Linked DNA regions of Danio rerio. The protein of the gene in region 4 interacts with the protein of the main gene of each other region in a pairwise test. Links are inferred from orthologs where the notes say so. Each region holds a gene or a part of one and is shown on either strand. Other genes may lie near its edges.

Region 1 (6,677 bases), on a different chromosome or scaffold from region 4:
TTATAAGGCTAAAAGAAAATGTCTGTTTTTATTGTCTTGAGAGCAGACATTTACGTGTGAACAACGCAACAAAAAAAGTTAAGTAATGTTTTGCAAAGTTTGCCGTCAGTTTGACAAGTCACCCACCGTTTGTTCAATAATTTCGAACGGCAATAAAATATTTCCACATTTTCCATACTCCTCTTTTTGTTTGCATAACACTTTTATCAACAATTTTTAAGTATTGAAATTCTAGATACGCGGACTTTATTTTTGACACATTATTTAAAATATGTGGCTAAAACATAGCTATTAACTTCCCTTTTTTTTGGTGGAGACAGTGAAAATTTTGGCAGGGCAAGTAAAAATCTGAACCACTTGCCCGATTGGACCACTATAAAAAATCCTTAGCGTTGAACCCTGTATAATTATGGAAAATAATAGTTTTTGATAAACTATATATAAATGTTTACAGTTACCTCTCAACTTCACATTTATGCTGTTTTTGTAGATATTTGTAATTTATTTTACTCATTTACTACACAAACATGCTATAATTTGGCTATTGGAATATCTTTTTTTTTTATCACTGAAATTCTAATGCTGAGTGGTTAGCACTGTTGCCTCACAGCAAAAAGGTCGCTGGTTCAAGTCCCAGCTGGGTCAGTTGGCATTTCTGTGTGGAGTTTGCATGATCTCCCTGTGTTGGCGTGGATTTCTTTCGGGTGCTCCGGTTTCCACCACAGTCCAATTGAATGAATTAAATTGGCTGTGGTGTATGTGTGTGAATGAGAGTTTATGGGTGTTTCCCAGTACTGGGTTGCAGCTGGAAGGGCATCTGCTGTGTAAAACACATGTTGGATAAGTTGGCAGTTCATTCCGCAGTGTTGACCCCTGATGAATAGAGAGACTAAGCTGAAGGAAAATGAATGAATGAAATTCTGATGTAAATTTTATTGTTAAATGTTTCTGCCTCATATTTAGGGATAGAATGCTGCCATCTGCAGGTCAAAGAAAAAATTTTTTTTTAAATATTGTTAAAAAAAGAAAGTGCAATTTCCACATATATCCAGCAGGGGTCCATAGAGACTCATTAATTTTCACATATTTTTTTCTTGATGCTTTAGAAAACTTTTCCCCTCAAATGTATGTTATGTATATTTACATTTGTAGATTATTATGTTTAAATGTGCATAATTGTAACAAGTCACCACTAGGACATGACTGTAATCACATATTATTTGTTTCAGAAGTTTTTTTTATCATAATTGATTTATTTTTTAAGAGCAAGTGATGAAATTTAAATTAAAAAGTATATAAATCCAACACAAAACAAGAGTCAAGTGTGTGGGTATGTGTGTGAGTGTGTCAGAGTGAACATGCTTGTTCCATGTTGATTTTGTGCTTTAGTATTAGTTCTTCATTTATATATAAACATTAAGGGCCCTATCATACACCCAGCACAATGTGGCACAAGGCGCCGGAGAAGAAGAAGGCATGAAAGTATGGTTTTTATATTTATATGAAAATAATGTTTTATAATATTTAATTCTTTATATTTATATCCCATAGTATATATCCTTATTATATCCTATATATATCTTTAAAATTGAATTTTTTTTTCATATATAAAGATATTTGTGTATGGCTCTACATCTTGTGTGTATTAAGTAGTGTGTAAGCGAGGTGCACAACTAACGCGCTCTGCGTTGGACAATAGACCGGCTTTGTACTGGTCTATCACTGTTGCGATTTTCCTCGGTGCTAGGCTCTGCCCGAAAAGTCGCTAAATGTCGCTACATTACATCATACGTTAATTTGCATATTACTGATGTCATCTCGCTCTACCATTTCTGTTTGTTTAACAGCCTATGGTCAATAAGGAGTATTTATATTAGCACTACGCTTTATGTAAGCATGTCAATTTAACTAAGTTTATTGCTGTTTGAACACAATATATCAGTATAGATGTGTAATGAATTTGCAGTAATCTCTCTGGTGTAATAAGCTCAGACAAGTTCCAAAACTGTCACTTAAAATATCTGTGATTGTGAACAAGAAAAGAATAAACAGTCAAATTAAATTGTTAAAATAAACCAGAAGCAGATCGGAGCAAAATCATTTGCTGTCGGTACACAGAGGGGTGAGGTTGCAGGTGGAAGAGGCTGCTGTATGAGGACTGATTGGACCGCCTGTCAGTGGTCTGAGGCGGGGGAGGGGCCGGCGGCATCACCCTCAGCTCGTTGAGAAGAGTAGGGACGGTACAGTATGGACAAATGACAGTCTATAAAAATCTCCAGTAACACACAAAAAAGTCGCTAGATTTGTCGCTAGTCACTTTTTAAAAAAATTTGTTGCTAGGGGGGTCTGAAAAGTCGCTAAATCTAGCGACAAAGTCTCTAAGTTGGCAACAATGTGGTCTATAGAACAGACTATTATAGTTTCTCAAAATAGCAACGCGCCTCAACACGTCTCCTTTTTTAGATCAGAACGCCTATGGACGCACATATGAGCGCAAATGCATTTGCTATTTAAACAGCTTGGCGCAAAACGTCAAAACAACTCTTGTATCAATCTGAAACGAACAAACAACAACTGCGTCGCGCCTTGCGCCACATTGCGCCGGGTGTATGATAGGGCCCTAAGATTTGTAGATTTGTAGTCATGCGTGTGCGTGTTTGTGTGTGTGCAAGAGATATATAATGTTCGATTCATCTTCCATTTGTGCTCTACATCCTAGAAATTAGAAATGTAAAACATTTCAGATTTAACAGGGTTTACAACTTTGTTTGGACAAATGAATCTAAAAGTTTTTTTCACTTTTCCCATTCATTTCTAATGTGACTTCAGTCTGACTGAGATGAGCTTGATGATGATTTGTTTTCACATCTTTAAAACAACCAAATGAAGTCCTTTTTTTGTTTTTAAATTATTTAGGAAAAGTCACAGAATGTCAAGCCCCTGAGATAAAGGGGACATAAAAAAAATATTTGACCCTGTGGGCCAATTAAGGGTTAATTGAAACTTTAATTTTCAGACGCATTTATATTATTATTAACAATTAAAATGGTCTTTATGCAAAATATGATGCAGATGCATTTTACATTTCATCTTGAACAAATATTATCACAATTGTGGGTCTGTAGCGTTTGAGCTTGAAACCCCCTGCCTGCTATATTGTAAACATAATGCAACTACACTCCGTCCAACTCCATTATCAAGAAAAGTAAAGACACATATTTTGGTGTGTTTTACTTACTTGACCAGTTAACGTGATTTCTTCTTTCTTTCTTTACATAAACATATTATTTTTTACCAAACCGTCTAAAGAGTTTGTCAAGAGTAAATAAAGTTATTTAAACGGCGCTTTTGAGATTCATCAAAGAGCTCTTTGGATTCATGTCAGCAGCCAATCAGACGAGGCCACCTGATTAAAGCCCGCGAAACGCTCTACCTGAGACTCCCTGACTGACTGTAATGAACACAATCGCAAAATCACGGTAAAATATCACCACATTAGCAAGTTACATAAGTGTAAAGAGCGATATACATTTTTAACCGCTAAAACAATTTAATATCAGCTTTAGTATTTGAACAGGAAGCAAGAAATAGCTTGGAAATGCGTCTTTGCTAACTGTTTTTCGCCGTTTTCACCACCAGCTCTAACCGTATGTAACTACCCTGCTGTTAATACATGTTCTATTTCCTTCCTCAAGAACCAGCATGTCTGCATCTAAATTCACCTTGCTGTGTAATTCGCACAAATGCCGGGTGAAGCTGAGCGGTGTGGCCTGGGTCACGGCCTGCTCCCATGTTTTCTGTGACCAGCACGGCTCAGAGGAGTTCAGCCGCACCCCCGCCGTCTGTCCCGCCTGCTCCTCCATGCTCTCCGGCAAATTAGACGTCCTGCGAACCGAGCTGACCCCATCCGAGCAATACAAAGCTATGGTTCTGGTCGGACTACAACCTGAAACCGTTTTGGAAATCAGTCATAAAGCAATAGACTTTTGGATCTACCAGGTTTGATGATTGTGTGGTGTCATGTGACCGTGGACCACAAAACCATATTGCTTACAGTTTTATATAGTTGTATATCATATATTACACGGCTCCATTTTTCTTTTATGCTAAAAATCATTATAATATCAAGTAAACATCATGTTCCATGAACACATTTTGTCTTACTGTAAATATATCAAAACTCATTTTTGCTGTATGGATTGCTAGTAACTTTGGACAACTGTAACAAGCTTGGACAACTTTTAGGTTGTTCAAAATATTATTCTCATTATTTAGAATTTTTTTGTATCCTCAGATATTCAAATAGTTTTATATCCACCAAGCAGTGTCATATCCTAACAAAGATATATGATATATACAGTTGAATTATTAGCCTTCCTGAATTATTAGCCCCCTGTATATTATTTCTGTTTAAAAAAGAATTTGTAATATTCAAAAATGCTTAAAATGACTTTAATGGTGACCTGAAAATTTTTCTTTTTTAAATTAAAAAAATGCTATTATTATTATCCTTGCCAAAAAAACCAAAAACAAATCAGACTTTCTCCACAAGAATAAATGTTATAGGAAAGATTGTGAACAATTCCTTGCTCTGTTAAACATCATTTGTAAAACATTTAAAATATATATGTATATTTTTAACTTCAACTATATATTCTAAAAATATATCAAACTGTCTTAAAGTTTGTCCCGAGTAAAAACTAGATACTAGGCTTGGGCGATATCCAAATTTTAAAACCGTCAAACCGCCTCCATATTTTACCCCGGTATCCGGTATTACCGGCGTAATAAAAAAAAAAAAATGACGTAAGGCTCAGACAGCGTCACCAAACTGTAGGCTTGAGCCTAAACCATTCAGAAACTGCATAACTTCTATGCGACCTTAGGCTCGCGGTCAGAGAGAGAGAGAGAGAGAGAGAGAGAGAGAGAGAGAGAGAGAGAGAGAGAGAGAGAGAGAGAGAGAGAGAGAAGCGACGCAACGCACAGCATCTCTCTCTCTCTCTCTTACACACACACACACACACACACACACATCTCTCCCGCGATTTATTCAGAAATTTGCTCCCACACCGTAAGAAATCTGGCCGGCTCCCGCGGAACAGCAGCGGGAAAGCAGAGAGCTGTCATCGGGCCATAAAAATTATACCCGATAGGTCCCGAGTCCGACAGGTACATTTTGATTGACAGCTTTATCAAGCCCAAACCTGTTTACAGCCCGACATTATTCAAATGTGCTCATGCACACAGCTCTAATGCATTTTTTCAAGAATGAGTCATTTATATGTTTTAACATTATTTATTCGTAACAAGCGCAGACTATAGGCCACTTGAAAGTTGGAACAAATAAATAAAATAAGTCCTCTGTAACATCGTAACATCTCAGCACTCTATAGGTCTAGGTACATGCACTAAGCCTTTAAATTGGCCAACACACCAATGAAAAGAAATCTTGCTTAACAAATCAAATTAAAATAAACTCTAAATGATGACGGGTATTTTGGCAATAACGAAATTAAGATAAAGGCGGTGCAAGATGTTTCTCCACTTCTCTTCACAATCTGGCATTAGGGCGGCGGTGAAGCTGAATATTAAAATAATAATGCCACCATTAGTCTGTATACTCTTTCTTCATTATGATTATATGGTTTAATTAATATTTATTTATATTTTAAAAACCCTTTACGCACCAAGATTAGGCTACGTGTGTTTGTGGAGAAACATTATTAAATCCACTGGTTTTAGCGCAGTCTTGCGCTCATGTGCGTCCAGCAGCTGAACACCCTTTCCTGCGGCTACAGGTCGAGATGCAGAGTTCTTATCCGGCTGATTTTGCAAGTTTTGGGTAGGATTGTTTGGTTATCTTCTACCAGTTAGGAACATCCATTTAATTTTCCATGACAGCGGTTAAGTGTAGCGAGCGGAGTGGCCTCGTCATTTTACCTGCTTGCGGTTTAGGGCTCTACCGTAATACGCAGTGTATGAGCGACCGCAAAATACCTGCGGCTGGAATAACCGCTCTTTCTGAGCTAGTGACTGACTTGACCGCCGTCAAAATTACCTTTTTTTTTACTACTTCATCATCATTTGTTTCACCTTTGCAGGGATTTATTTTAATGCAGGGATTTGGATTTTTTCGGGTCTCGCCGGATTCGGGCAAAGATCTTCAGCTCTAATGCAGACCTCTCGTTCATATTAACCACGTCTCCCTTCTGTTCAGTCGAAACTGCCAAACTGCAGGACACTTTGAAGCGCGACTCGTCACGTCACGTCACGTCACCTCTCCCTCTCTCCCCCTCCCTCTCCCTCTCCCCCTCTCTCTCACCCTTCCTCTCTCTCTCTATCCTCCACACTGTCCCGTGATGACAACCACATATACGTTTTTGTAGGCATTAAATAAAGGATATTTAATATATTATGACGGTATAACGGTATTGAAACTGACACCGTTGCTATTTTTAGATCCCGCGGTATACCATAATACCGTATTACCGCCCAAGCCTACTAGATACAGTTGAAGTTAGAATTATTAGCCCCTCTTTGAATTTTTTTATCGTTTAAATATTTCCCAAACAATGTTTAACAGAGGAAGGAAATTTTCACAGTATGTCTGATAATATATATATTTTTTGGAGAAAGTCTCATTTGTTTTATTCCGGCTAGAATAAAAGCAGTTATAT
Region 2 (6,624 bases), on a different chromosome or scaffold from region 4:
ACAGCGCCAGTGCACTCACCACACACCAGCTATTGGGGGAGTGGAGAGACAGTGATAGAGCCTATTCAGTGGATGGGGATGATTGGGCGGCCATGATCATATGGGCCGATTGCGGGTTACACCCCTGCTCTTTACGAGAAGTGCCATGGAATTTTTAATGACCACAGAGATTCAGAACCTCAGTTTCACGTCGCATCCAAAAGACAGCGCCCACTGACAGTGTAGTGTCCCCTTCACTTTACTGGGGCATTAGGACCACAGACCACAGGTCGAGCGCCCCCTGCTGGCCTCTCTAACACCAATTCCAACAGCAACCTAGTTTTCCCATGTGGTCTCCCATCCAGGTACTGACCAGGCTCAGCCCTGCTTAGCTTCAGTGAGTAACCGGTCTTGGGCTGCAGGGTGATATGGCTGTGGCATAACACAAGAAGTGTATTTCTTACTTACTTTAATGGTAGGGAATAGCTTTCTCTGATCTCTGATCTCTATCTTAAATATTAATAATTAAAAATTTATAATATAAATAAACATTTAACCCACTTTATAATTGTTTATTTCATTGTGAATGCATAATTGTGCCAATCAAAGCTAGTGAAAGTATCACTCAACAGTCTGAAACTGGCAGATATAGTGCACCGACAAACATCTTAAGTATTCACATAACACTTTTCTTGTAAAATTGGTGTTTACATCTGCATGTAGTGTTAAAAAAGAACAATTAAACAAATAATTTGCATAGTTTGACCTTCAGTAACCTCTAAAATACTCACTAAATATCCCTGAAAACACTGAAAATGTATACATTTTATTAATAAATAAGATGTAATTTAAATACATTCATAAATTTGTTTCACTGAAGCATGCATTACCAAACTACCAAAAAATGTACCCCTCTTGCTCATCAATATGAGTCGCACACTGTTTGTTTTCCAGCACCATTAATCTTAATTTCGTTATATACAGAAAATTTATATTATTTTAATATACTAGAGTAAAGGATTTCAATTTAAGTTCATATAAAAATTCATATAAAATGCTTGACAGCTAGTCTATTTGATGCATTACTTTTTTAAGCGATGTTTAATAGTTGTCAACTAAGACAACCCCACCCCATCCAGAGACTGAGGTACTCAGGGATAGTCTTATCCACCCCAGCAGCCTTGCACTACCTCTACCACATCATGTGGAGGTCGGGAACAGTGCTGTGCACCCAACTACAGTGGGACTACACTTCTCAGCATCCAAGAGGATGCAAGGATACTGGAAAGTATAGAGCAATGTGGTTTTCATCTTGGCCGTGGAACACTGGACCAGCTCTCTAGGGTGCTCGAGGGTTTGTGAAAGTTCACCTGTCTATTTCACAGTTGCTTTGTTGACTTTATAGTGTACAAGACATTCTGTTAAGGGCTGTCTTGCCTCTATATGACCGAAGCAGGAGTTTGGTTTGCATTGTTCTGACGATCTGTACACCCTCAGAATGTGCTACTGGTTGCTCAGTCTGTCATGTTTAATCTATAAAAATAAAAACAGTATAGAGCATCTCATTGTACAGGGAAACGTGTTTCCTTACTGTGCACATGACAATAAACAAATTGAATTGAATCTTGTCAGCTTCAAATGTCTACCGCTTTAGATAAGGATGTAGAACACATATCTTGTCAGCTTCAAATGTCATATGAACTTTTTGTGTTTATTCGACCGGTAGTTTATTCTAATAAACATTTGAATTTGACAAGATGTGCTACCCCTGGATGATTTGGGGACCACAGGTTTTCATCTCTGCTATTTGAAGTTGATGCTGTCCTGTTGGCTCCATCAAACCTGGAAATTCAGCATGCACTGGGATGGTTTGTGACATTGCCAAAGCCAGAGTGCTCAACTGAAAAAAATTGGCCTGCCATCTCCTGCTTGGAAGAGTGTCTGTACCCCAGGTGGAGGAGTTCAAGTAACTTGGGATTATGTTCACAAGTTGTTGAAGGATGGAAAGTGAGATTGACAGGAGAATCAGTGCAGCAGCAGCACTAATGCGGTTGATGTACTGGTCTGTTGTTGTGAAGGGACAGCTCGAAATATAGGCTACTCTTCAATCTATGGCTTCTCTAACCTGGTCATAAGCTTTGGGTCATGAAAAAAGTACAAGATTGCACCTACAAGCAGCTGAAATGAGTTTTCTTCGCATAGTGGTACAGCCTTTAAGACAAGTTGAGGAGCTCTTGGGTGAGGTGAGCTGCTGCTCTTCCACATCAAGAGATGCTAGTTGAGGTGGTTTGTCCCATCAGAGGGAGACCCAGGGGATGACCCTGGACATTGGAGGGACTGCGTTTCTGCTTGTCTGGAAACACCTTGGGATCCCCCTTGAAGTGCTGAAGAAAGTGTCTGGGAAGTCCGGGATTCCCTTCCCTGCTGTGACTGCTGCCCCCGCGACCTGGCCCTGGATAACCGGCAGACAATGACGTACATGACATGACTTTTAATTTTAAAAAAATAATACACGTATACTATGTGTGTGCCATTACTTTTCCTAATGCTGCGTTTTAGGTAGGCTATAGTCAATAGTTTTGTGTTTTTGGTAAGGGTGCCACAATACATGTAAAACTAAAAACAATAGTAAAAAACAAATGACGCAAGTTCTTAAATATAAATCTAATATAAATCTTAAATATAAATCTAATTGTTTTAATTAAAAATGTATCGTATTATTTATGGGCTGTGAATACAACGGGGAATTCTGATGAATGATCTCATGCCGTATGTTCGCTAGAATATTCTACGCCTGCGCAGTGGCAGCGTGTTTCAGCGCCTCAGTTTCGGCCAAGTTGTCGGCAAGAGGAAATTCTGCAAGTCATGGTGGGCCATTCAAAGCGAGAGGGGAGTGACAACCATACAGATATCTGAGGGGATAAGTGCATGGTTAGCTGGAAGTGACTAATGACAGTGGTTGTGAATGCATATGGATGTATTCGGAGTCATTTGTCAGTAAACTCATTCTGAGTAAGTATGAAAAAACGACTATTTTGATGCTACGCTAGCTGGCTAAGTTAGCTATAGCTTTCGTATTTGCGAATGTGGGAGTGTGTGTTGGTGTGTCTGCAGCAAATGCACGTGACAACGTTGCTTGAGCTACAGGAATTGTTGTAAGTGGCTAGGTTTGACCGATAAACAGAAATGGGTATTTAATAAAAGTTGTTATTAGTAATTCAGTGTCCCCGGCAGAACCCGGTCAGGCCCCGCCTCATTATTGGCTGCAGCGCGGCGAGAAAATGAGTGACAGCCATCTCAGCCAATCAGAGGCTGTTGCGCCACTTGTTGCTAACGGGCTGCTGGGCTCCGATAGCGGAAGTGTGAGAGGTCAATACTTCACAGCGCCTGGACAAATAAATTGTCTTTAGACGAGGTTTTAGAAGGATGTGGTGAAAATAGACAATAAACGACGGAGTTCAGTCACCGATCTGCTGTTATTGACGGCGAACATGCGGGATTCCTTTAAGGATATCACGTTTTTTGAGGTATACAGGGATGGGTGGATGGATGTGGGTGTGATTATGAGGTGGGTGTATTTAGTGGGAGGTCATAATGTATTAATGTTTTATAACATATAAAACAAAAATGGTCTGTGACATATAGATTGATATTACTCTGTTATTGATATTATAATAAAACTTGATTTGTATAGCATGATAAGTCATGCTGCAAGTTGTAAACTTTAATGTTTCTTTAATTTATATCAATCTTTCATTGCAATCATAATCAGCTGTTATTCATGCCAATATAATGGCATTTTGACTATTGTTTCTCTTCTCTATGTTTGCAGGAAAAACTCATGCTTGCAGATATAACCTGGATATTATTTGGGGCGCAAAAGCGTTAATCAAAAACAAAAGTGGATTCAACTTTAGTAGTATTTAATTAAAAGCACATGACTGTGGAACAAAGCGAGCATCATTTTATGTTGTGTCTGCTTTTGATTTTTTATTATATACAAGGTTAAACGTAACCTAATTTGGTTTGACGTTTGTTTGCGTGATTTGTTTTTCTTTTTTTTGCTTTTTAGTTGCTTTTTGAGTTTTCTTTTTTGTTCCTTTGCAAAGAAATGCTTTACTTGAAAAAGTACTTCACAGAGGGTCTTATTCAGTTCACTATCCTCCTGAGTCTGATTGGGGTACGAGTGGACTTGGACACTTACTTAAACAATCAGCTCCCCCCGCTCCGTGAGATCATCCTGGGCCCCAGCTCGGCCTACACCCAGACGCAGTTCCACAATCTCCGCAACACCCTGGACGGCTATGGCATCCATCCTAAAAGTGTGGATCTGGACCATTTTTTTGCCACTCGTCGGCTATTGAACCAGGTGCGTTCGCTGGATCATCTGCGTGTGCCTAGCACGGAGCTGAGTGCCTGGCTGGTGCATCGTGACCCTGAGACTGTGGTTTCGGCAACCAGTCAGTCCGGCCCCAGCATTGCCCTGGACAATGGGGGCAGCCTGGAGGACGTGAACAACTCCGAAGCCTCGGCCATGAGAGGGGCTGGCGGTACTTCTGAGACCACTTACAGCCTCAGTGGAGAGGACAGCCTGGGAGCCGTGGCCCCTGAGGACAGCCAGGAGCAAGGGGAGAGAGAGAGCAGCGACGACCTCTCCAAAGAGGTACAGTAGCTGTGTGTTTTTAGCTTAGCCTGCTGTAATTAGATTGACGTTGGAACGTATTTGATTTCTTCAAAGGGAGAACAGCGTTATGCTATTATCTCTCGATATTAGATTAAGGCCATTGAATAGTGGCTATTAAAAGCAATGTTTGTGAACTGCTTGTATGTTTGAGTCCTTCAATAGTGGCTGGACAGGGTGTGGTCTCATTGATAGAGCTCTGAAAGCTAGATAGTTGTGCTAATCTTAAGGTTTTTAAGCTTGGAAATGGTAATTTTTTTGGCAAAATCACAGCTTTTTTTAATGACGTATGTATAGATTAGTTGTTGTATTTACTGATGATTTGCCTTTTAGATAGAGGATGTCTACTCATATGGTTGTCAGGATCTCACAGGATATGTAGTGTTTCATTTTGTTGAGAAAGAAGTTTTCTCTTTTTTTAGACCTTTTTGTAGACCTTTTGCGATTATTGATTAAACATCTTATTATAGTTATGTGATATAATCCCATTTATTTAAGATAACCACAATTACACTGCAGCTTAAAGTTCATATTGTGCCATCCAAATAGGCATGGGCTGGTTTAAGTTTCTGATGGGAAGATACCTTGGATAAGAATACCATGGTATCATGGTATTGTGATTACTGCTCTTAAATAAGTTCTTTTAAAATGTCTGGGTAAAAAAGGTCAATTGATTAATAAAAAAAAAAAAAAAACATTGAACACTTTTTTTAAAGAAACATTTATAACATTTTGGAGCAGTAAATATGTCAGGCTAAATAGTTAAAATAAATGATTGACTTCTGACCACTTAATTAGTTTTAAAAACACAGATTGTTTTAAAACACACAAAAAAAACTTGTCCAACCTGTCCAAACTCATTCCTGGAGGGCCGGTGTCCTGTAGATTTTATCTCCAACTTGCCTCAACACACTTGCATGGATGTATCTAAAAAAGTCTGATTAGAGCTTGATTAGCTAGTCCGGGTGTGTCTGATTGGGGTTGGAACTAAACTTTACTGGAAGTTTGTGCACTCCTGCCTTGCATATTTTGGGAATCGTATAACACAGGGGTGGGCAAACTCGGTCCTGGAGGACCGGTGTCGTGCTCGGTTTAGCTACAACTCTAATCAATTACACCTGCTTATAGATTTCTAGTGATCTTGAAGACACTGATTAGCTTGTACAGGTGTGTTTGATTAGTGTTAATAGCTAAACTGTGCAGGACACCGGCCCTCCAGGATTGAGTTTGCCCACTCCTGCCCTGATATAACAGAACATTTTAGGGGTGTTAAAATCTTGACTTTTCCAAACCACAATAAACCTTTAAAACTTGTTATTGTCCCATGCCTACATCCAAATAAGGCACATCATATGAGAAGGGTATACTCATAGGTCAGAGCCAGCTCCAAGTATGTGGGATTGAGCTTTAAGTGGGCTGTGCAAACCTGGAGTTTTTATTTATTTAAAGGTGCAGTAGGTGATCTGCCAAAAAGCTAACCGCTTAGCATATTATTTTTGGACGGCGGGGAGGGACTGTGATTCAAAGCCACACCCCCTGAAATCGCAAGCGCGTGCACCGGGTCACAACAGGCGACAGACAACCCACTAGTTCATGTCATTCGCCAGTTAGTTAGTGCCAGCGCTGAGCAGGAATTACATTTATTACTTAGCCACACTTAACGTTACATGCTATTTCAGAGCTAATATTCAGAGTAGCATGGTAAACAGTATAGGAAGGCTATCGTTGTTCAAAAATGACCCAATGTGAATATAAAAGCAGCTTCAGCTCAATAAAGCAGGTTAAGCTATTTACTGGTGTTTTGTTGTTAAACTAAATATAAATCTACATTATAGATGCTGTCAAAGAACCTTATAAAACTGAAAATAATCACATCAATCTTTCACCGGGAGATTTAGTGGCTGAACAACACGTCTGTGCATATAAGTCATTCATAACAAAACACAATCTAACATAAAATAGTT
Region 3 (6,574 bases), on a different chromosome or scaffold from region 4:
GTGTCAACATTTAAGGTTTCTATTGCACAAGCTCTTACCATTTATTGTACTCACCTCCTTTTCTTCTGCTCGATAAATGTTTGCTTTCTTCTAGCTTTTCCGTGGCAGTCTTCTCCTCCTGTTTCCAAATTCATTGAAGTCATTTCAAAATTATAGATGACTCAAAGTGATCTTGTGTAAGGCATGTTAGCAGGTGGCATTCGCTCATGTTAGGATAAATTAACATACTCACAGATCACTGGCTGCATTCTGAGGACATGCTTGTGTTTATACCAAAGACCCTCCCTTCATGTTCCATGTGACAGTTGGCCATTAATCACCAGTAGGTTTGCATCTGTCAAAACAAGATGGTCTTTTACTTTTCTGAGAACTCTGATCATGTAGATAAGCATTTGGGTTTGAATAACTGACTCTCATGATTCCAGGAAAAGTACTACCACTTTTAAAATAATGTAACATCTATATTAGTTCCCAAGTAAAATCACATTTTTCTGTGTGCTGGCATTTATGTTAGATAAAAACGTAATTGGCACTATCATATAAATACAGACAGTGTCACGAGATTGTGGCACTGGCTGCAGACCAAACACAATTATAGTTCAGTAATTTAAGCAAACCACAAAAATACATTTAGGAAAAAAGACTGTAAATACATTCTTTAAAAAATCTAAATACTGCAAATATGACACATTTTGCAACCTCTGAGGTGCAATATCTCCAACCCTTCAAATCAAATATGAAAATGCTTGAAACATTACCTTACAGTTGTCCATTCTCCTCACGGATCACTGAAAACCATATTTGAGTCTAGGCTTGTAACAGTAGTCCATTTCCCAAACATATCTGGAAGGATACATTTCACTGTTGGTATCACTGCAGACGAGCTCTTCGCTTTCAAATTGGAATTGTATCTGAAAAGTAAATATAAGCATCCAACTCAAAGCATATTTTAGTCAAAATCAAATAGCTTACTTGACTAGCATAAAACCCAAAACAGAATCACAAGCATGTAAACCAATTTAATTATTTGTGTAAAAAGCTCTCTGATTTCCACTGTTCATCTCCTCCTCTTGGAGAATGAACATGCAAGCAACAGGCGACCTGCTGCCCCATAAGCTGTTGGATCTATTTGATTTATTGACATTGTCTTTCTGTGATTGGCTTGCTCTAAACCACAGCTTTTTTCACTGAGATGAAGCTTGTTGGCAATGCTGCTTTTTTAATGTGCAGACATGCATGTCATCTCTGATACTTAGCCACCTAATATATATTTATCTTTAAATTAAATGTACATTATCTTAAATTAAATAACAATAATAAAAAAACAGAAAACAATACAAAAGACTGATTTTTTTAAATCTGTTAAAAATCTGTGATTTGGCATTATCCCTCCCGAGAAAAAAGAAAAACTCTTATGTACTGTTGAAACTGATGACAATGGTAAATCTGTAGGTGCTGGTTACTATCTACTCATCTGGCGCCATCGGGACAGAGTTGATGCCCTGTCTCCATATTGACCTCCATCCTTAAGATGTATGCCAGCCTCCCACAACCGGAATAAACACTGGGCTGATTTCAATGTTTTGAAGTTATGCTATTTAAAAATAATAATAATAGAATAGTAAGGGAATATTGTAATTAAAATTTGTGGAAAAAAAATATTACCTAATATCACGAATTGAAGGTTCATTTTTATGCTACATTGAAGTAAGCAATTTTCAAGAAATTATTAATAATTATTTCAATTTATATTTTTATGTAAGCTTTATTTGGGCTGAACTATTTAATTATTAACACCTAAAAGGTTGCAATATGTAACGTTATTTATCTGGCAAGACGAGTCGAGAAAGCAAACCACGGCATAATAAACAAATACCCGATCCTGGGTGGTCGAAATGCTATTCTGACCATGAAGATGGACAATTTCCTGTTGACAGAAATTATTTTTGATTGCTGGGAAATGAAGTCCACTTTGAGCACTTAAGTGATGATAAACAAAGCACGATAATTTCCACAAGAACTCATGGAGCTCAGCTAGCATAACAACTTGTTTTAGTTCACTATAACGAGAATGCTCATAATAATGCTTTTTTGTGGTAATATATTGTGTTGAGACACTTATGATTTATAATTAAATGTAAAATGCTAAAACTGCATTTAACGAAACTTTTATTTCATTTTCGATCCCAGCCTCTTCTCATTTGCTATTCCTATTGGTTGTCACGCCAGTCAATAATCTTCTCTACCGTCTGATTGGTCGAGAGGCGGGTCATTCAATTGAATGAGTTGCGGAAGTAGAATCGTACACTTGTGGTGGTTCTCATTTTTTTGACAGGAGTGAACGCACAATTCAGGTAGAACTTGCTCCACGCGCGTTGATAATATCTTTAAAATGTTTACAGAGAGAGCCCATGTTCGCTCTAATAGTAAACAGGATGTTTGTATAGCGAGTTATTGCCTATATGTTTCCGTTGCACAGGTTTGTTCATTGTCCGCTTTCCTCCACTATCAACTGTGCTAACGTTAACAGTATTAGCTGATCAGTTGAGTTCCAGAAGTGAAACAGAAACCCACAGAATCTGGGCTGATTCACCTTTCAGCATTAAAGACACATTTCTGACATTATGTCTACACATTTCCCCTAGATTAAAGTATTTACTTAACGTTACAGGATTGTGTTAGCTTTGTGTGTTTGTGCAACATAAAGTTCAGATGGGTAATAATAAGCAGGTTATTTTTTGTTCTATTACATATTGACATTATTGATCAGTGATTTATGTATGCTTTTGTGGTTTTCAGTGGAGAGAAATCAAGCTGCCTGTAATCAGAAATGGTGGACTCTCAGTATTACCTCCCAAACGACATTGGGATCTCTGCTCTGGATTGCCGGGAGGCTTTCAAGCTGCTGTCTCCCAAAGAGAAACTGTATGCACACTACCTCTCTCGGGCGGCCTGGTACGGTGGCCTGGTCGTGTTGATCCAGACATCTCCTGAGTCTGCCAAGATCTACGTACTGCTGCAAAAAATGTTCCGTGCACAGACGCCACTGCAGATGCAGGAAACAGCGACTGCAGCTGGACTGAGTGCAGAGGAATATCAGGTGAAATGTCCTGATGCAAACACCAAAGTTAACATCTTCTCTCTGTGTTCTTTGCAGTAACAAAAATGTTCTGTCTGTTTTCCAGGCCTTCCTTGTATATGCTGCTGGGCTTTTTGCGAACATGGGGAACTACAAGTCATTTGGAGACACCAAGTTTATCCCCAACCTGCCAAAGGTGAAATACCATACTTAAAGTGATTGTTTGCTCCAGGATGATGATTATTCTTCATTGTGTTGCTCCAAATACACAAGACATTTGTTCATGATTGAAAAAAATTAAGATATCTTAAAATTTAGCGCATTTCTGCCCCTCCATTGATTGTCTGTTCACCAAAATCTAATATAGAATAATAATAATAAATAAATCCATATCAAAAAAATCATATCATATCAGTGGTTTGATTTAAGTTTTCTAACTAATCATGCTTTCTCAGTTTATTTTTTGGAAAACTTAGATTAAACCCCTTTATTTATGTGGATTTGTCTTGTATAAATGTTTTGACGCATTTAGAGTCTTAGTTGAATAGATTTATTTCCCATTAATGTTAAAAATATCTTAATTTTTGTGAAATTTCTCATGGTTTTGGACTGGAGCAACATGAACGTAAGTAAATGTTTAAAATGTTAGGGTGAACTGATTGTCACTCCATGTGTGGATAATGTTTCAACACTTTTAGTATTTGATAACTGTGCATATTTTGTATATGCAGGAGAAGTTCAAGGCTCTGGTGTGGGAGAGTCTGGCCTTTAAGGAGGATCCCAGTGGCACAGAAGTGCTGTGGAACAGCTGCTGTGAGCCCCTCTACTCTCTAGAAGAAAAGCAGAAGCAGCTTGGTCTGGGTGAGAAGGTAAAATCTGTTTAAATCCTATTACAATATGACTTTATGCATTTATTATGCATCATCTTAGGTTTACATTTTGCTAATTGTTATTATTTTTTTAGGGAATCACGGCTTATTTCTCAGGGAATTGCTGCTTAGAAGATGCAGAGTTTGCCCAGAAGTTTCTGGACTCCAAGGTATTGTACACCAGTGAAAGATCCTGCAAGTTGTTTAGATAAAAACTGTTTAAAGACTATCATGCTTTTTTTATTATAAATGCCTGATATACATTTTGTCAAATATTAATATAAATGAAAGTTACTGTATTAATATTTTAAAACTCATCATCTTTCTCATATAAGACACATTTAAGCATTTAAAAAAATCCATGCCTTAAAATCGCTTTAGTATCACTCTACACCCTGTTTTATTTTGCTCCAGTTGTTGTTTACATTTTAGTTTACCATTTGTTCAATTTTGTTGTCTTTAAAATGCTCCTGTGGAGAACTAATTTCTTACTCATCACATCTTAAGCCTGTTCTTAATAGCAATACATCATTTTAGAGCATATACAGTGCTCAGCATATATAAGTACACCCCTCATAAATCTCTCTTTTAAATTATTTTTTATTATATATATATATATATATATATATATATATATATATATATATATATATATTAAATACAGTTTTCAAAAAGAGGAAAAATCAAGAGAAGCAAAAAAATTAATGTAGTTGAAATTTTGTAGGTTGTAAATTTATTTTTCAATACTTTGCTTAAATTTAATCGTGTTATGTTTCTATTTCTAAAGATGCCCGGTGACTAAAATATTATTTCAATAAATATATCTGTTTAATAAATCTGTTTTGTTTAAATGCACCAAAATACATTGTCTATATTCACTGAGAAATTGATAAAAATATTAATTCTCAAAATGGGGTGTACTTAACTATGCAGAGAACTGTATACAATAATGCACTTTTTTAAAGTGAGAGTAAGAAGCCAAATTATCACCCAGAGTTTTAAATAATAATCTCACAGTCCATCATCAGTTTTTTTTTTTTTACCATTTTGCACCATTTTATAAATTTGATTTTGTTGTTTTCTTACTAATAGTGGCTATATCTGCACAGTTTCTCAATAGTGGTCTCTCACACTTGGACTTCTTTCTTCTTGTAGAACCTGAGTGCCTACAACACCCGTCTGTTTAAGACAGAAGTAGATGGGAAACGGTGCTATGAGGTGCGTTTGGCCTCTGCAAAGACGGAGGGTGAGTATTAAAAACAGTTTATATTTGGATTTTATCATTGAACTATTTAAACTCTGAATAAATTATGTGTATTATTTTGGATAAGATATTTATTTATTTTATTTATTTATTTATTTATTTTTTCTCCTGTCTATAGACTGTTGTGCCGAAGAAGGGGAAGGTAAAACGTGCTGTGGAAGATTTGAATTTGAGGATGCTGTGTTCTGTGTGAAGAGGGGCGATTATTCATTTCTTATGGAGAAAGTCTGTCAGAATTTGGAGAAAGCCAAGGTGTAATGTCATTAAAATAAAGAAAACACAGATTTAGGGATGTTTTTTAAATGTAAAATGAATGGCGTTAGACCTTTGGAGCCTAAAGTAAAGTTGTTTATTTGTCTTAGGTTAACGCAGCTGATGAAAACCAGAGAAGGATGTTGGAAGAGTATATCCGCAGTTTTACCTATGGCTCAGTGGAAGCCCATAAAGAAGGGTCCCGTTTTTGGATCAAGGACAAAGGACCTATTGTGGAGAGGTGACTGACCCATATTTAACAGAGCTGTGACTCATTTCATAAAAATAGCTGAGTTTCAGTGTAGGTGGAGCCAAAGGTTAACCAAACAAGTCCAACCCAGTTCCAATGTGTTATTCAAAACAGTCATTATAAACATTTTCATCAACTCTGGATTAAATTTGCAGCATGTGTAGCTAAAAAAGTGACGTGTGTAATCTGTAATGGACAGTCAAGAAATGTGAAAGGTTTCATACAAAATCTGTAAAATATCTTAAAAAGAGATTGTAATGAGAAATATAACAAATTTCTGTCATGAAATTCTGAGAAAAAAACTAACAAACTGAACAGCAAAAACAAACAAAAAAAGAAACCGATATACTAAATCTATTCAATTTATTTTGTTGTTACAATATATAAAAATTAATTTTTTTAAAACAGTAGATGTTAAATGCTTATATTTTATGTATAATTATAGAAATATACAAAAGCACAAATGTAATGCAAAAAGGTTATAATAATATAAATATAATTTACTTAAAATGAAAATGAACATGAACATGGCTAATAATTATAATCAAAAGATTAAATACAATTCTAACAAAATCCTTTGAGAAATTAGATTTTGTTTTAAAAATCTAAGCAGGTTATCAATCTAGCACAATTCACCATGCTGATTGTTACAAACCCCTGATGTTTGTCTAAGGTAAGGTGGGGTTTGACATTTATATGCAATTAAATAAAATTTATACAAACAGTGAAAGTGCAAAAGACAACCCATTTAAATACCAAAAATTGTGATTTTATTTACAATACCCCAAGTGGAAAAAAAAACAAAAAAACAATCAAAATAAAGAAAAAGGCAAAAATATGTATTTACAATATATACAACA
Region 4 (6,784 bases):
ACGGCCTGCAGCAGCGCCTGCACATACGGACGCCGCTCCTCACGGTCGTACTGAACCCACGCCACACACGCGTGGAACACCTCCGACTCGCAGCGCACGTTCAGCTCGTCCCGGCTGATCAGGGTCACCAGCTGACAGTGAGACAGGGTGAAGAACTCCTCCTGCGTCGCCACCTGCAGGACACACACCGCGCGCGCATGTTAGAGTTGGGGTATTGGTGGTGAGGGCATGCTGTTGGGGGGTTTGGGTTAGGGGGATGTACGGTGGTGCAAAACAACAACACAGACTGAAACACTTACGAAGCTCGAGACAAAGGTAGACTCTGGAAAACATTTTCCCACGATAAGACGCAACTACAGAGGAGAAACCATCTCCCCAAGGAGAAACACAAGAACAAGACCCAAAACACTGTTAGCAGTGCCCAAACACACTTACAGGCACACGCAGAGGGAACGCTCCACACACCGGGAAATATCTATAGAGTCACGGTTTGACCTGCTGCGATTAAACATTGTTCTTGTTCTTGTGTTTCTCCTTGGGAAGATGGTTTCTCCTCTGTAGTTGCGTCTTATCGCGGGAAAATGTTTTCCAGAGTCTACATTTGTCTCGAGCTTCGCTTCGTATTTGACATGAAACGCACATTTTACTCATATATGTAGCGTGTATATGCCCATGAGCTGCCCAGGCGGAATCTGCACACGGTTTTGCTTTTTCTGCACAAAATTGTGTTCAAAATCTGCGGATTTATGTGTAATTATTTTAGGAGTATCATGACTAAAACCCTAATATATGAACTAAAACTAATCCCTTTAAACTTTAATTTCATGTTTACAATGCAAATCCATACAGATCCACTTTATTTGGTAAACAAAGCCAGTCTCTCGTATCATATCTCTCCTGAAGACATGACTGCACACTGCGCTGTACATAAATCAGATCAACATTTTCAGATCAGTCAATAATATTACAGAATAAGTACAGATGTACACACACTAACTCAAGTGAATAGACAGAATCAATGATGAGCTAAACATCTGCAGAATTCTGCGGGCCCGAATCCTCAGTGATCCCGCCGGGCTCAGATCATTTCTCTTTCTCACTACAGTCCATCTGCTCCAGAGTTTTAACTGAACCTCAGTCAGGCGATCTCGGACTGATTGATTTGGTGCAGATCCAAGCACAATTGCTGGATTCACATATGCCAAACGAGCCGCGCTGACTGGACTAACGGGACGGTTCCGAAACAGAAGTGTGGGTGTGAAAGCCCCTTATTGAGGCCTGAACTCTTGTGTTGGTGTGTGAGGGGTGTGAGAGCGGTTATCCTGTGTGCGTCGGCCGCTCTGACCTGGCTGAAGTTCATGTAGATGTACTCTCTGGCCTTCTGGTGGAGCTCCGTGCAGCCGATCTGCTCGGCGAAGCTGGCGATGCCGATGGCGTTACTGGGGTCCAGCTGCTCCACCAGGAAATCACAGCAGGCCTGAACCACGCTGTCGATCTGGTACATCACGGCGCCGTTCATCACGTGGATCACACACTTCTCACCCACTGAGATGCTCGCCGTGTACGCAAACTCAATGAGCCGGCCCATGACCTGGAGACAAGAACACACACGCACACACACACACACACACACACACCGTTTCTGAAGTGGGCACACTGAAAGGCACAGGTCACCTATAATGAACATGTCCTCCTCCTTTCCTCACTCGAGCGCTTCTACAGCTTCATCAGTCTCTGATACTCTGAGGAATGCTGGGAAAGCAGCCGCTGACGTCCACAGCAGGAACAGAAACACTGCTGCAGTCATCAGCTGCTTCCTCCAGGACATCTACCGCTGTGTTCAACAGAAACTCAAACAGGTTTGGAGGAGGAAATGAGGAGAGAGAACAGCTGCTGTCACTGATCACCTGACCACTGAGCTGTGTGTGTGTGTGTGTGTGTGTGTGTGTGTGTGCTGGAGCTCAGGAGAGGAGCTGTACACATTCAAGACCATCACTGTATCATGATGCAACACTCACACAAACACACACACTCACACACTCACACACTCGCACACACACACAGCTGGGAAAACTGCACTACAAATCCAAATTCCCATTTATTATTTTTTCCTAGTGTGTGTGTGTGTGTGTGTGTGTGTGTGTGTGTGTGTGTGTGTGAGTGTGTGTGCTGGTACCTTGGGGTGTATCCCCTCGATGGGCACCACCTCCATGCCGCACTCCTTTAGGCCGTTGGTGAACATGGCGCGGAACACAGGCGAGGACGAGGCCAGCACCACCTTATGCGCCACGAAGTCGACGTGTGTGTCGAGCGGGCAGTAGCGCACGCGGAGTGTGACGTCACACAGCTGTCTCTCGCGCCGCAGCTCGTTCATGATGGCGAAGGCGGCGGCCGTGTGGCTCTCCAGCGTGTAGCTGAAGACGCGGTGCCCATTGCTGGCCGACGGCGTCACCTCCGCCTTACACTCCGTCATGCCCGCCGCCGCCAACATCAGCGCGGGCACATCCTCACTCGCCAGCGCAGCGGTCACGAGAACACACACACACCTGTGTTAGAGACACGCACACATCATACACACACCGCTCATCACCAGCAGGAACACACGCAGAGGAACGCTCACATATCTGTGTTCTCCTGACCAGTGTGAACACACACACACACACACACACGCACACACACGCGCCTGTCAGTCAGTCTGTAGAGGAGGGCAGAGCTGCTGATCTGTGTCTGCACGCGAATCCTGAGGGGGAAACACACACACACACACAGAGAGAGAGATTAGAACAAACACTGAGGATTCACCACTGACTACGATAACACACTCTGCCATGAATGATCAGGAGTATCACACACACTCTCACACACACACACACACACACACACACACACACACACACACACACACACACACACACTCTCTCTTCTGTTGGACTCAGGACTGGTTCATCAGATCTTCGTCAGTGATTTGATCAGAACTAATGAGTTTCAGGAGTTCCTCCTGTCGTTAGCAGGAGTCTATCTTCTGCTTACACACACACATACACACACACTGACTACACACACACTGTCCTGCTGTCAGTGAACCAGAACACACTCTGATCCACACTTAGTGTGTGTGTGTGTGTTTATGAGTGTGTTTTTGTTTGTTTATGAGTGTGTGTACAGGTAAACAGAATCTCACACACTGTTAAAAATGCAGGCTTCCACACAATTCATTCATCTTGACCCAACACAAGTCGATTGAGTTAACTCAACACATTTAACAAATGCGTGTGGATTGAACATAAGAAATTTAAGTTCTCACAAATGAAACCTCAAGAATTGTGTTGTTTCAGCTCATTTTAAATAAGTAGTTTAAAAGAGCAAATATATATGCAGCAGGTGTGTGTGTGTGTGTGTGTGTGTGTGTGTGTGTGTGTGTGTGTGTGTGTGTGTGGTTCCAGCTGTCTGCTAGGTTTATTTTAATGTGTTTCTGTCAATTTGCTGAACTGAAGTGTTTATCTCCGTTTATCCTCCTCACCCCGGCTCTACAGTCATGCTTTAATTTGATTTCCGCTGTTTTCAGCTCTTATAATAACACTAAGAACACAAAGCGCGGTAAATACACATAAACAGCGAGAGGCCTGAGATCCCCGGGCTTGAGTTGAAACGGCACCGGCCCCCGGCAGCGCAGATCCGGCCACACTCAGCAGCGGCGCCGCGCCCGAGCGGGAAACCACAGACCGAGGCTGAGGAAAAGTTCAGCGCTACGCGACCCGCGCTTTAAATTATTGATGGAAACGCGAGCCGACCTCAAATCAAAACACTTTATTCGTGTTATTACCATGTTCTTACCGCGTTATAAGCCTCCATAAACAACACAGTGATCAATCAGGAATAAAGATGAAGATTAATAAAGTTCATCATGAGCTGATCTTCATCAATAAGGAGACAAGCCGCCATCCTCATCCTCACAGCTGTACATCAGAAACTGCATCAACACGAGCCTGTAGATCTGACAAACGCGGCAGTAATGTCGATTAAACACAGTAAACAATGAAAACACACTCACGGGCATCAGCAGCAGCGCACGGACACTCTCTCTCTCTCTCTGTGTGTGTGTGTGTGTGTGTGAGCACTTCTGTGTGTATGTGAGTGTGTGTACTTGTGTGTGTATCATACCCACTGAAAGCAGAAACTCAGCGTGACTAAGCATTAGCTGGCCTGTGTGTGTGTGTGTGTGTGTGTGTGTGTGTGTGTGTGTGTGAGATGCAGTACTGATGTTGGACACGAGGTGTCGCTACAGGTCAATAGAGCGGGCTGCTGCTGGGCTGTGTTTGAGCTGTTCTGCTGTTGGCTGTTCTGGGATCTGTGGTTCAGCTGACTGAACAGCTTCTGTTCTGTTCTGCTCCAGTGTGATCATCAGAGGAGGAGCTGAGCTGAGCTGAAGCTGCACACATCTCATGCCTATACTGGATCCAAAACACGATCAGTAAAACAGTCCGGCTCTCAGTGAGCAGAGCGGAGCGACAGATGGAGGACTACATGCAGAGTTATGTGTGTGTGTGTGTGTGTTCAGCAATTAACATTTTACACTGAAGGACACACACACACACACACACACACACACACACACACACACACACACACACACACACACACACACACACTGCCTCTCCAGTCTGACTTTCATTAATGAGTAAATAAACATTAAAATCTTTGTAGAAGAGCCCAATCTGTGAACAGCTGACCTCTGACCTCTGACGTGCCCGTCTACTGGAGCAGCGACTCACACTCTACTGCACTTCAGTCTGACACTCACGGCAGAGCAACACACACACACACACACACACTGGTCAGGAGAAGCTGAGAGACACACACACACTCTTCACATCTCTATTTTAATATTTCATGAGAAGTTCCAGTTTTGACAGATGACTAAGCTTGTGTGTGTGTGTGTGTGTGTGTGTGTGTGTGTGTGTGGGTAAGAAAGAGAGAGTGTGAGCGATTGAGAGATGCCCGTGGTTTAGGTGTGACGGCTCTGAGGTTGGTTTGAGTGTGTGTGTTTGTTTACGGTAAACAGTGTAAAGGTGAGCTCTGTGGTGTTTCCATGTTTGTTTGTGTGTGTGTGTGCTTGTGTGTGTGTGTGTGTGTGCATGTGTGCAACAGCAGCCCCTCTGCAGACGCACAGCTGAATTTGCAGTCACCCACATGTGTTTGTTGGTTTCCGACACGCACACACACACACACACACACACACACACACACACACACACACACACACACACACACCACACACACACACTTGTGTTCTGAGCTTTTAGTTTTTGTTTCTTCTGATGATCACCATCCCAGAAATATTTGGAGTAATTTTGGCAGCTCGTCTCCTCTCTCCTCAACCCTCACACACACACACACACACACCTTCACACTCCTCCATTCTGCCGGCTCTATCAGCCTTTTTCCTCACAGAGACCCAAAATAATGTCCCCATGAGATCATTTACTGGTATTGCTATACTTGTGGGGACATTTGGTCCTCATAAGTGATGAACACCAGATAAACTGACCCACACATATGAAGCAGCTGTAGGTTATATTCTGTCTGGGTTATTCATACATGATTTATTATACAATAAAATAGAACATCATTTATTTACACGTTAAAGCAGTAAAGCGTCCCCACAGCGCTGACACACGAGCGGCCGCAGACCCCACAGACCCCGCAGACCCCGCAGACCCCGCAGTCTGCTCAGTCCATCACGAGCTCATCCAGCTGCGCTGACCCTCAGTTCTGCTGCTGAGCGCTGTGGAGCCAGAGCAGAGACAGCACCACAGCCAGGACATCTGCTCTCTCTGAAGCTCATCACACTCAGTCTGAAACACACATCTGCTGATAGAGATCTGCAGGTGTGTGTGTGTGTGTGAGTGTGTGTGTGTGTGTGTGTGTGTGTGTGTGTTGACCTCCTTTGAGGCTTCTGAAAGGGTTTTTTGCCCCCGTGTGAGTCTGGTGTCCAGAACACTGCTCAGTTCCTGCCGTGTGACGTGATGTGTGTGTGTGTGTGCGCATGTGTGTGTGTGTGTGTCTCAGAGTCAGGTGATGACGGACAGCCGCAGTTTGGGGTAGATGGACTTGTGTATGGACGTGGCGTTGGCGGATGAGAGTGTGTTCTGCAGGCCGTGGCGGTGTGTGTCCGGTGTGCAGCGGCAGCACAGCAGCTTCAGCACGGCGCTGCGCACGTCTCTGCTGCTCAGCGTGTAGATCACGGGGTTCAGCAGCGAGTTCAGCATGGCCACGCCCAGGAAGTAGTCGGCCTTGAAGAGGATTGGACAGGCTCTGGCGGGGCAGGAGACATCCAGCAGCAGCAGCGCGAACAGCGGCGTCCAGCACAGGATGAAGGCGCCCAGCACCAGCGCCACCGTCCGCAGCAGCGCCATGTGTTTGCGGGACCGCTGCGTGTGTGTGTGTGCGTGCGTGTGCGCCCTGACCAACAGGAAGATGCGTGTGTACAGCAGCACGATGGCCAGCAGGACGCCGCTGAGCACCGACACGCAGAACAGCACGTAGCTCTTGGCGAACAGCGGCAGGACGGTGGAGCACCAGCGCAGCTCCTGCAGGCAGTTCCAGCCCAGCACCGGCAGCGCCCCCAGCAGCACCGCCAGCGCCCAGCTCAGCCCGATCAGCGCCCGCATGCGGCGGCGGCGCCTGGAGCTCTGCTGCGGCCTGGAGCTCCGCATGGTGCAGGCGCGCTCCACTGCGATGGCCAGCAGACACAGCACCGATGCCGCCAGCGTCACCAACACAC
Region 5 (5,313 bases), on a different chromosome or scaffold from region 4:
TGTATCTGTTTGTGTTTCTGTATGTGCATCTATGTGTGTGTTTGTGTGTGTGTAACTCTGTGTTTGTGTCCTGCAGGAGCTCCTAACACTGCTGAGCTGAAGATCTGCCGTGTCAATAGAAACTCCGGCAGCTGTCGAGGAGGAGACGAGATTTTCCTGCTGTGTGATAAAGTACAGAAAGGTGTGTGTGTGGCACTGCAGAGACACACACACACACAAATACAGAGACAGACACGGATACTTAAAGACAAACACACACTCTCAATCAGACACATAAACACACAAAAGCACAGAGACACACACACAGCCTGTTTCAGCATCGCTCATATACTGTCTCACTGAACGTTTGATTCATTCATATATTTATTTATACTGATCATTTTCAGTATTAATATTGTTCATAGGGCTGGGTTAAAATGCTGTGTGTGTGTGTGTTTCAGAGGACATTGAGGTGCGCTTCTTCCTGGACTCGTGGGAGAGTAAGGGCTCGTTCTCTCAGGCTGATGTGCACCGGCAGGTGGCGATAGTGTTCCGCACGCCGCCCTACTGCGACACTAACCTGACCGAGCCGCTGCGTGTCAAGATGCAGCTGCGCAGACCATCTGACCGCGAGGTCAGCGAGCCCATGGACTTCCAGTACCTGCCCTCAGACCCGGGTGAGCTTTATTACAGTGTTGCCATTACATACTGCATTAATACCTAGTTATTACAGTGTTAACTAAGTGTTATTACTGCATTATTATGGTTAATTAAGTATTATTACTGCATTATTATGGTTAATAAACTGTTATTACAGCATAATTACTACATTACTGAATTATTAGTGTTAATTAAGTGTTATTAATGCATTATTTCTACATTACCGCATTATTACGGTGTTAATTAAGTATTATTACTGCATTATTACTACATTACCGCATTATTACGGTGTTGAGTGTTATTACTGCATTATTACTACATTACCGCATTATTACGGGGTTAATTACTTGTTATTACTGCATTATTAATACATTACTGCATCATTACAGTGTTAATTAAGTGTTGTTACAGCATTATTACTACATTACCGCATTATTACTACGTTATTACTGCATTATGACATTATTACAGCAATATTATGGCAATATTACTGTGTTATTACTGCAATGTGTACGTGTTTTACAGCATTATTCCATTATTACAGCGTTATTACTGTTAATTCATTAATAAAATTTTTACAATGTTATTACTACATTATCACACTATCAGCATTATTACTGCATTATTATTGTTACTACTGCATTATTATCACTGTTATAACTGTTATCACTGTTATGACTTCATCATGGCATTATTGCTGCGTTATTACAGTGTTATTGCAATCTTAGGGTGTAATATAGTTTTGTTAATTCATGATTACTACATAAATACAGTGTTAGCAGTTATTACAGCATTATTGCTGCATTATCACTGTTATTTCTGCATTTTCTTTGTTTTCTTACTGTGGTAGCACTATTAACACGATAATAATGCAGTAATACTACTGTTATCTTTGTGTACCCGCATTATCACAGCATTACTACTGAGTTATTGTGACATTACCAAGTAATTACTGTGTTATTACTGCATTATTACGGTGTTAATAGTGTTGTTATTGGGTTCTTACTGCTTTATTACAGCATTATTACATTGTTATTACTGCATATTCTGTGTAATGTAATGAGATGATTTAATATTTTGTCGTGTGTGTGTATGTGTGTGTGTGAAATGAGCAGATGAGCACCGGCTGATGGAGAAGCGCAAGAGAACTGAAGGAATGCTGCATAATCTCAAGCTGAGCAGTATCATCACAGGTGTGTGTGTGTGTGTGTGTGTGTGTGTGTGTGTGTGTGTGTGTGTGTGTGTGTGTCAGTGGGTGATTGCGTGGGGTCAGTGTGTGTCTGTGTGTCTTTTTGTATGTTCGCTAATCACTAATGAATGTGTATGGGTCATTGAGTGTGTCTGTGTTTGCGCACTTATGAGTGTGTACGTGGTTATTGAGTGTGTGGGTGTGTGTGTGTGTATTAATGATCATCACATGATATCATTTTACTAATAGCTCAGAGGTCTGTCTTCTGGTCAATGTGTGTGTGTGTGCGTGCATGTGTAGGGTCCTCGATGTCTGCTGAAAGACGGCCATTCCCTACGGCTAAACGAACTCTACCTGTCTCCAAACAGCCAGTGGCAGCCAGTGCACCAGCCAGTGTACCAGCAGGTAACTTTTCCTCATCCGCTCGACCGTGGGTGTGTACAGCGGAGTAACACACACTGATCAATACTCTGTTCAATCAAACACACTGATCTCTCATTACCATTTACACATCACCTCTGCTGAATGCTGGATTCTGATTGGCTGCTGGTCACTCTCAGGTGTTTGGTTATTGTCAGATAAAGGCACAGCTAAAGTAGTTCCGGCAGGTTTAGAGCACAATACAGCTCCATATCACTCCACTGAATGATCAGAGTTATTACACAGCTACAACAGTCAGACATCACAACAGAAGGAGGAGATGTAGAGGACACTAGTGTTACACACAGGAGACGCTTAAGGAGGACACACACCTGACTAACACACTCACACACACACACACACACACACACACACACACAACATCTCAAGAGTGATTTCTGCATGAGAGCTGTGGTTTAAACAGTGTGCTGAGCTGTTTTCTCTCTGTGTCTGTCTAGTGTCCGCCGCTCCTCCACTGAAGCCTCCACCCACCTCCTTTTTCTCTCCGCCCCCCGGTCAGCTCTTCACCCAGCAAAAGATGGAGCCCTCACCCTTGCCGGCATCCTCCTCAGACATCTGGAAGTATCTGCAGGCCATGTCAGTGGACAGCCAGCCCAAAGCGGTGCCGGTGCTGCCCTTTCCCAGTGGAACCGTTTCCACCGGTAGGGATGCAAGGCTGATAACAGCAGCCAGGGGAGAGAATACTGTCCTGCACCCGTACACACTGCATTACACACACCTCACACACGTGCTCTTATTAGTGTAACGCATCACAGATCTCATGGTTTGCATCACATTGTCACGGATCAGACCATTTTTTGGATCAGCTTGTTATGTGCCGCCTTGAGCACGCAACAAAAAGAAGGGAACCAAACCAAGCTGAATGAAAAACTGCTAAGAGATATTCATTTAAAGGTTACAAAGACAAAATAATAACATAAAGTGCAAAGAGAAATCAGAGTAACCATTTTACATTTACATTTAGTCATTTAGCAGACGCTTTTATCCAAAGCAACTCACAATTGAGGACAAGGAAGCAATTTAAATAACCAAATTAATTTAAGTAACCATATCAAAACATTCCCCATAATGTTCAAAACAACATCAGATTACATCGGAGCAAAGTTCAAAATAAAGAAAAGTAATATAAGCAGTAGGTAAGCCAAACAAAGTCAAACCAAAAAACGATTCTCCCAAACACATCTTAGAAGCTCCTTTAATAAGCCAGAAGATTAGCCGCACATGCTGCACCATACTGAGTCACCTACTAAACATCTACTGCGTCCCAAATCGCATACTTATGCACTATTCTACTTCATTTTGTAGTATAAATAGTGTCAGTAGTGTGTTCACACTGAAAACTCTAAGAATAATAAGTGCACTTTAATTACCCGGATGATGCACTCATTCAGCCAGTATAATGAAGTGTGTAATGATGGACACTTCACGCACTCAACGACCGCAGGTTTGCTTACGTAGCGGAAGGGGCGGAGCTATCGGACGCACATGTTGGATAACTTTATTTATTTTGGATGGTGAAAGCAAAATTCTCCTATGAGAGTGAGTATAGCGCCTCCCGATGGTGAATGCGGCAATACTCACGGCAGGTATTATTAGATAATTCTGTTGTTTATTTCACTGATTTGGCGACTGTCACACGTCATCAGGGAAACGGTTTGAATTTCCGCTTAGTAAAAAAACATTAGTGCTCCATTTGGGACGACACTACATACATATACTGTCCTGTTGAGTGTGTAAGTACATAAGTACATAGTGCATGAGTGCATAGTGTATAGTGTGCCATTTGCGACGCAGCTAAAAAGAAAGCAAAACCAGGAAACAGAAAAGACCAATCACAAACCCATAACAAGCTATAAAGGGGGAGACAAATGTAGTTTGCTTTCCATTTATTACAGAAACAGCACTGCAAGACACTTTAGGTTTTAACAAACAGAACTGAGAACCTGTGATTTATTAAAAATAACATAGAAGAAATAATCAGCTGAATAACAACAAACTAAAATATTCAGTGCTGTGGGAAATTTACTGTTACTGCTGCTGTTGCTGATGACGCTAAATGTAGAAGTCTAACATCATTATTTGAACATTCTTAATTAATTTAGTCTTATCTTCAATAATTGATTCAGTTATTCACTTATAAAGCTTCATTGCTAGATGACCAATGTTTAAGAATTATTCAGAGGCGTATTTTTGATGGCTGGTTGTCGCCACCTACAGGTGAAGTAATGTAACTGCTGCCTGCAACTTTCGTTTTTGAGCGTCAAGTTAAATGCATATGACGGTGCATGGTTTCCGCTACATTAATCTTCTATAGCGGGACGCCATGCCAAAATTCAACCCGCCACGGCTACATTACAGCTTCTCATTCTCATTTTTTTAATAGCGGGTAATAATCGCACCAAAACATAGTAAAGGGTAAGTGAATTATAACAGCGCAAACATTTCTGTAACCGCAGTAGTGCTGTGCCTAATTTGTTTAACCCTTTAAGATGACGTGCTGACTGACTGACTGATGCGTGAGGCCACAACGTATAAATATCGCTCTGTATCGCTCTGTAGATCTATTGGAGACATTCATAAATATTTCTAGCAAATCTAATAAATGCTGGAGACATACTCACTACACAAACGCACTAAATCGCACTTCAGCAGTGTTAATTTGAGAGCGCACAAGAAGATCTGCGCGCTCTTGAAGGGGCGTATATTTGAGGGGCGTGCAAGAAGTTTTGTGGACGAGCTGAGGAAATCGGCGCACAAGCAAAGAGATCCGCATGCTGTAGGCCAGTGGTTCTCAAACTGTGGTACGCGTACCACTAGTGGTACGCGGGCTTCCTCCTAGTGGTACGCGGAGGAATCGGCAAATAATGAAAGAAACAATTAACACTTTTAATCCTTTGATGCGTAATCTAACATCGATGTGATCAGCATTGTCTGTTTTGTGAAGCGTACGATCACAATGCTGTGCTTAGAATGTTTATTTTAGTGCTTTGTGACATTAGCTGCTGAAAATCAGTTTCCGAAGTTTAAGAATTGATTCTGAAGCG

The links.
Region 1: the proteins of keap1b (region 4) and ccnb1ip1 interact in binary tests that used the Homo sapiens proteins (3 or more experiments, as listed by UniProt). The two-hybrid records come from large-scale screens. The link is inferred for Danio rerio from reciprocal best matches to the Homo sapiens genes KEAP1 and CCNB1IP1.
Region 2: the proteins of keap1b (region 4) and nfe2l1b interact in binary tests that used the Homo sapiens proteins (3 or more experiments, as listed by UniProt). The link is inferred for Danio rerio from reciprocal best matches to the Homo sapiens genes KEAP1 and NFE2L1.
Region 3: the proteins of keap1b (region 4) and dpp3 interact in binary tests that used the Homo sapiens proteins (3 or more experiments, as listed by UniProt). The two-hybrid records come from large-scale screens. The link is inferred for Danio rerio from reciprocal best matches to the Homo sapiens genes KEAP1 and DPP3.
Region 5: the proteins of keap1b (region 4) and rela interact in binary tests that used the Homo sapiens proteins (3 or more experiments, as listed by UniProt). The link is inferred for Danio rerio from reciprocal best matches to the Homo sapiens genes KEAP1 and RELA.

Annotation. Positions count from the first base shown.
Region 1 is NC_133182.1:19,533,727-19,540,403, reverse strand, and holds the start of ccnb1ip1 (E3 ubiquitin-protein ligase CCNB1IP1), read left to right. Parts: upstream 1-3,047; 5' UTR 3,048-3,456; coding exon 3,457-3,479; intron 3,480-3,695; coding exon 3,696-3,999; intron 4,000-6,677. UniProt on the Homo sapiens protein: Ubiquitin E3 ligase that acts as a limiting factor for crossing-over during meiosis: required during zygonema to limit the colocalization of RNF212 with MutS-gamma-associated recombination sites and thereby establish early differentiation of crossover and non-crossover sites.
Region 2 is NC_133187.1:30,687,275-30,693,898, forward strand, and holds the start of nfe2l1b (endoplasmic reticulum membrane sensor NFE2L1b), read left to right. Parts: upstream 1-2,824; 5' UTR 2,825-3,134; exon of another isoform or gene 3,135-3,213; 5' UTR 3,214-3,506; intron 3,507-3,811; 5' UTR 3,812-4,090; coding exon 4,091-4,642; intron 4,643-5,507; exon of another isoform or gene 5,508-5,758; intron 5,759-6,624.
Region 3 is NC_133196.1:30,380,933-30,387,506, forward strand, and holds the start of dpp3 (dipeptidyl peptidase 3), read left to right. Parts: upstream 1-2,283; 5' UTR 2,284-2,354; intron 2,355-2,799; 5' UTR 2,800-2,830; coding exon 2,831-3,100; intron 3,101-3,185; coding exon 3,186-3,275; intron 3,276-3,810; coding exon 3,811-3,948; intron 3,949-4,043; coding exon 4,044-4,118; intron 4,119-5,103; coding exon 5,104-5,194; intron 5,195-5,330; coding exon 5,331-5,464; intron 5,465-5,574; coding exon 5,575-5,705; intron 5,706-6,574. UniProt on the Homo sapiens protein: Cleaves and degrades bioactive peptides, including angiotensin, Leu-enkephalin and Met-enkephalin. Also cleaves Arg-Arg-beta-naphthylamide (in vitro).
Region 4 is NC_133181.1:202,334-209,117, forward strand, and holds the start of keap1b (kelch-like ECH-associated protein 1B), read right to left. Parts: upstream 3,852-6,784; 5' UTR 3,835-3,851; intron 2,741-3,834; 5' UTR 2,492-2,740; coding exon 2,177-2,491; intron 1,592-2,176; coding exon 1,346-1,591; intron 174-1,345; coding exon 1-173. Other genes in the region: s1pr5b (sphingosine 1-phosphate receptor 5b), read right to left, coding at 6,072-6,784. UniProt on the Homo sapiens protein: Substrate-specific adapter of a BCR (BTB-CUL3-RBX1) E3 ubiquitin ligase complex that regulates the response to oxidative stress by targeting NFE2L2/NRF2 for ubiquitination.
Region 5 is NC_133182.1:1,069,376-1,074,688, reverse strand, and holds the end of rela (transcription factor p65), read left to right. Parts: intron 1-76; coding exon 77-181; intron 182-440; coding exon 441-656; intron 657-1,754; coding exon 1,755-1,832; intron 1,833-2,128; coding exon 2,129-2,233; intron 2,234-2,706; coding exon 2,707-3,014; 3' UTR 3,015-3,369; downstream 3,370-5,313. UniProt on the Homo sapiens protein: NF-kappa-B is a pleiotropic transcription factor present in almost all cell types and is the endpoint of a series of signal transduction events that are initiated by a vast array of stimuli related to many biological processes such as inflammation, immunity, differentiation, cell growth, tumorigenesis and apoptosis.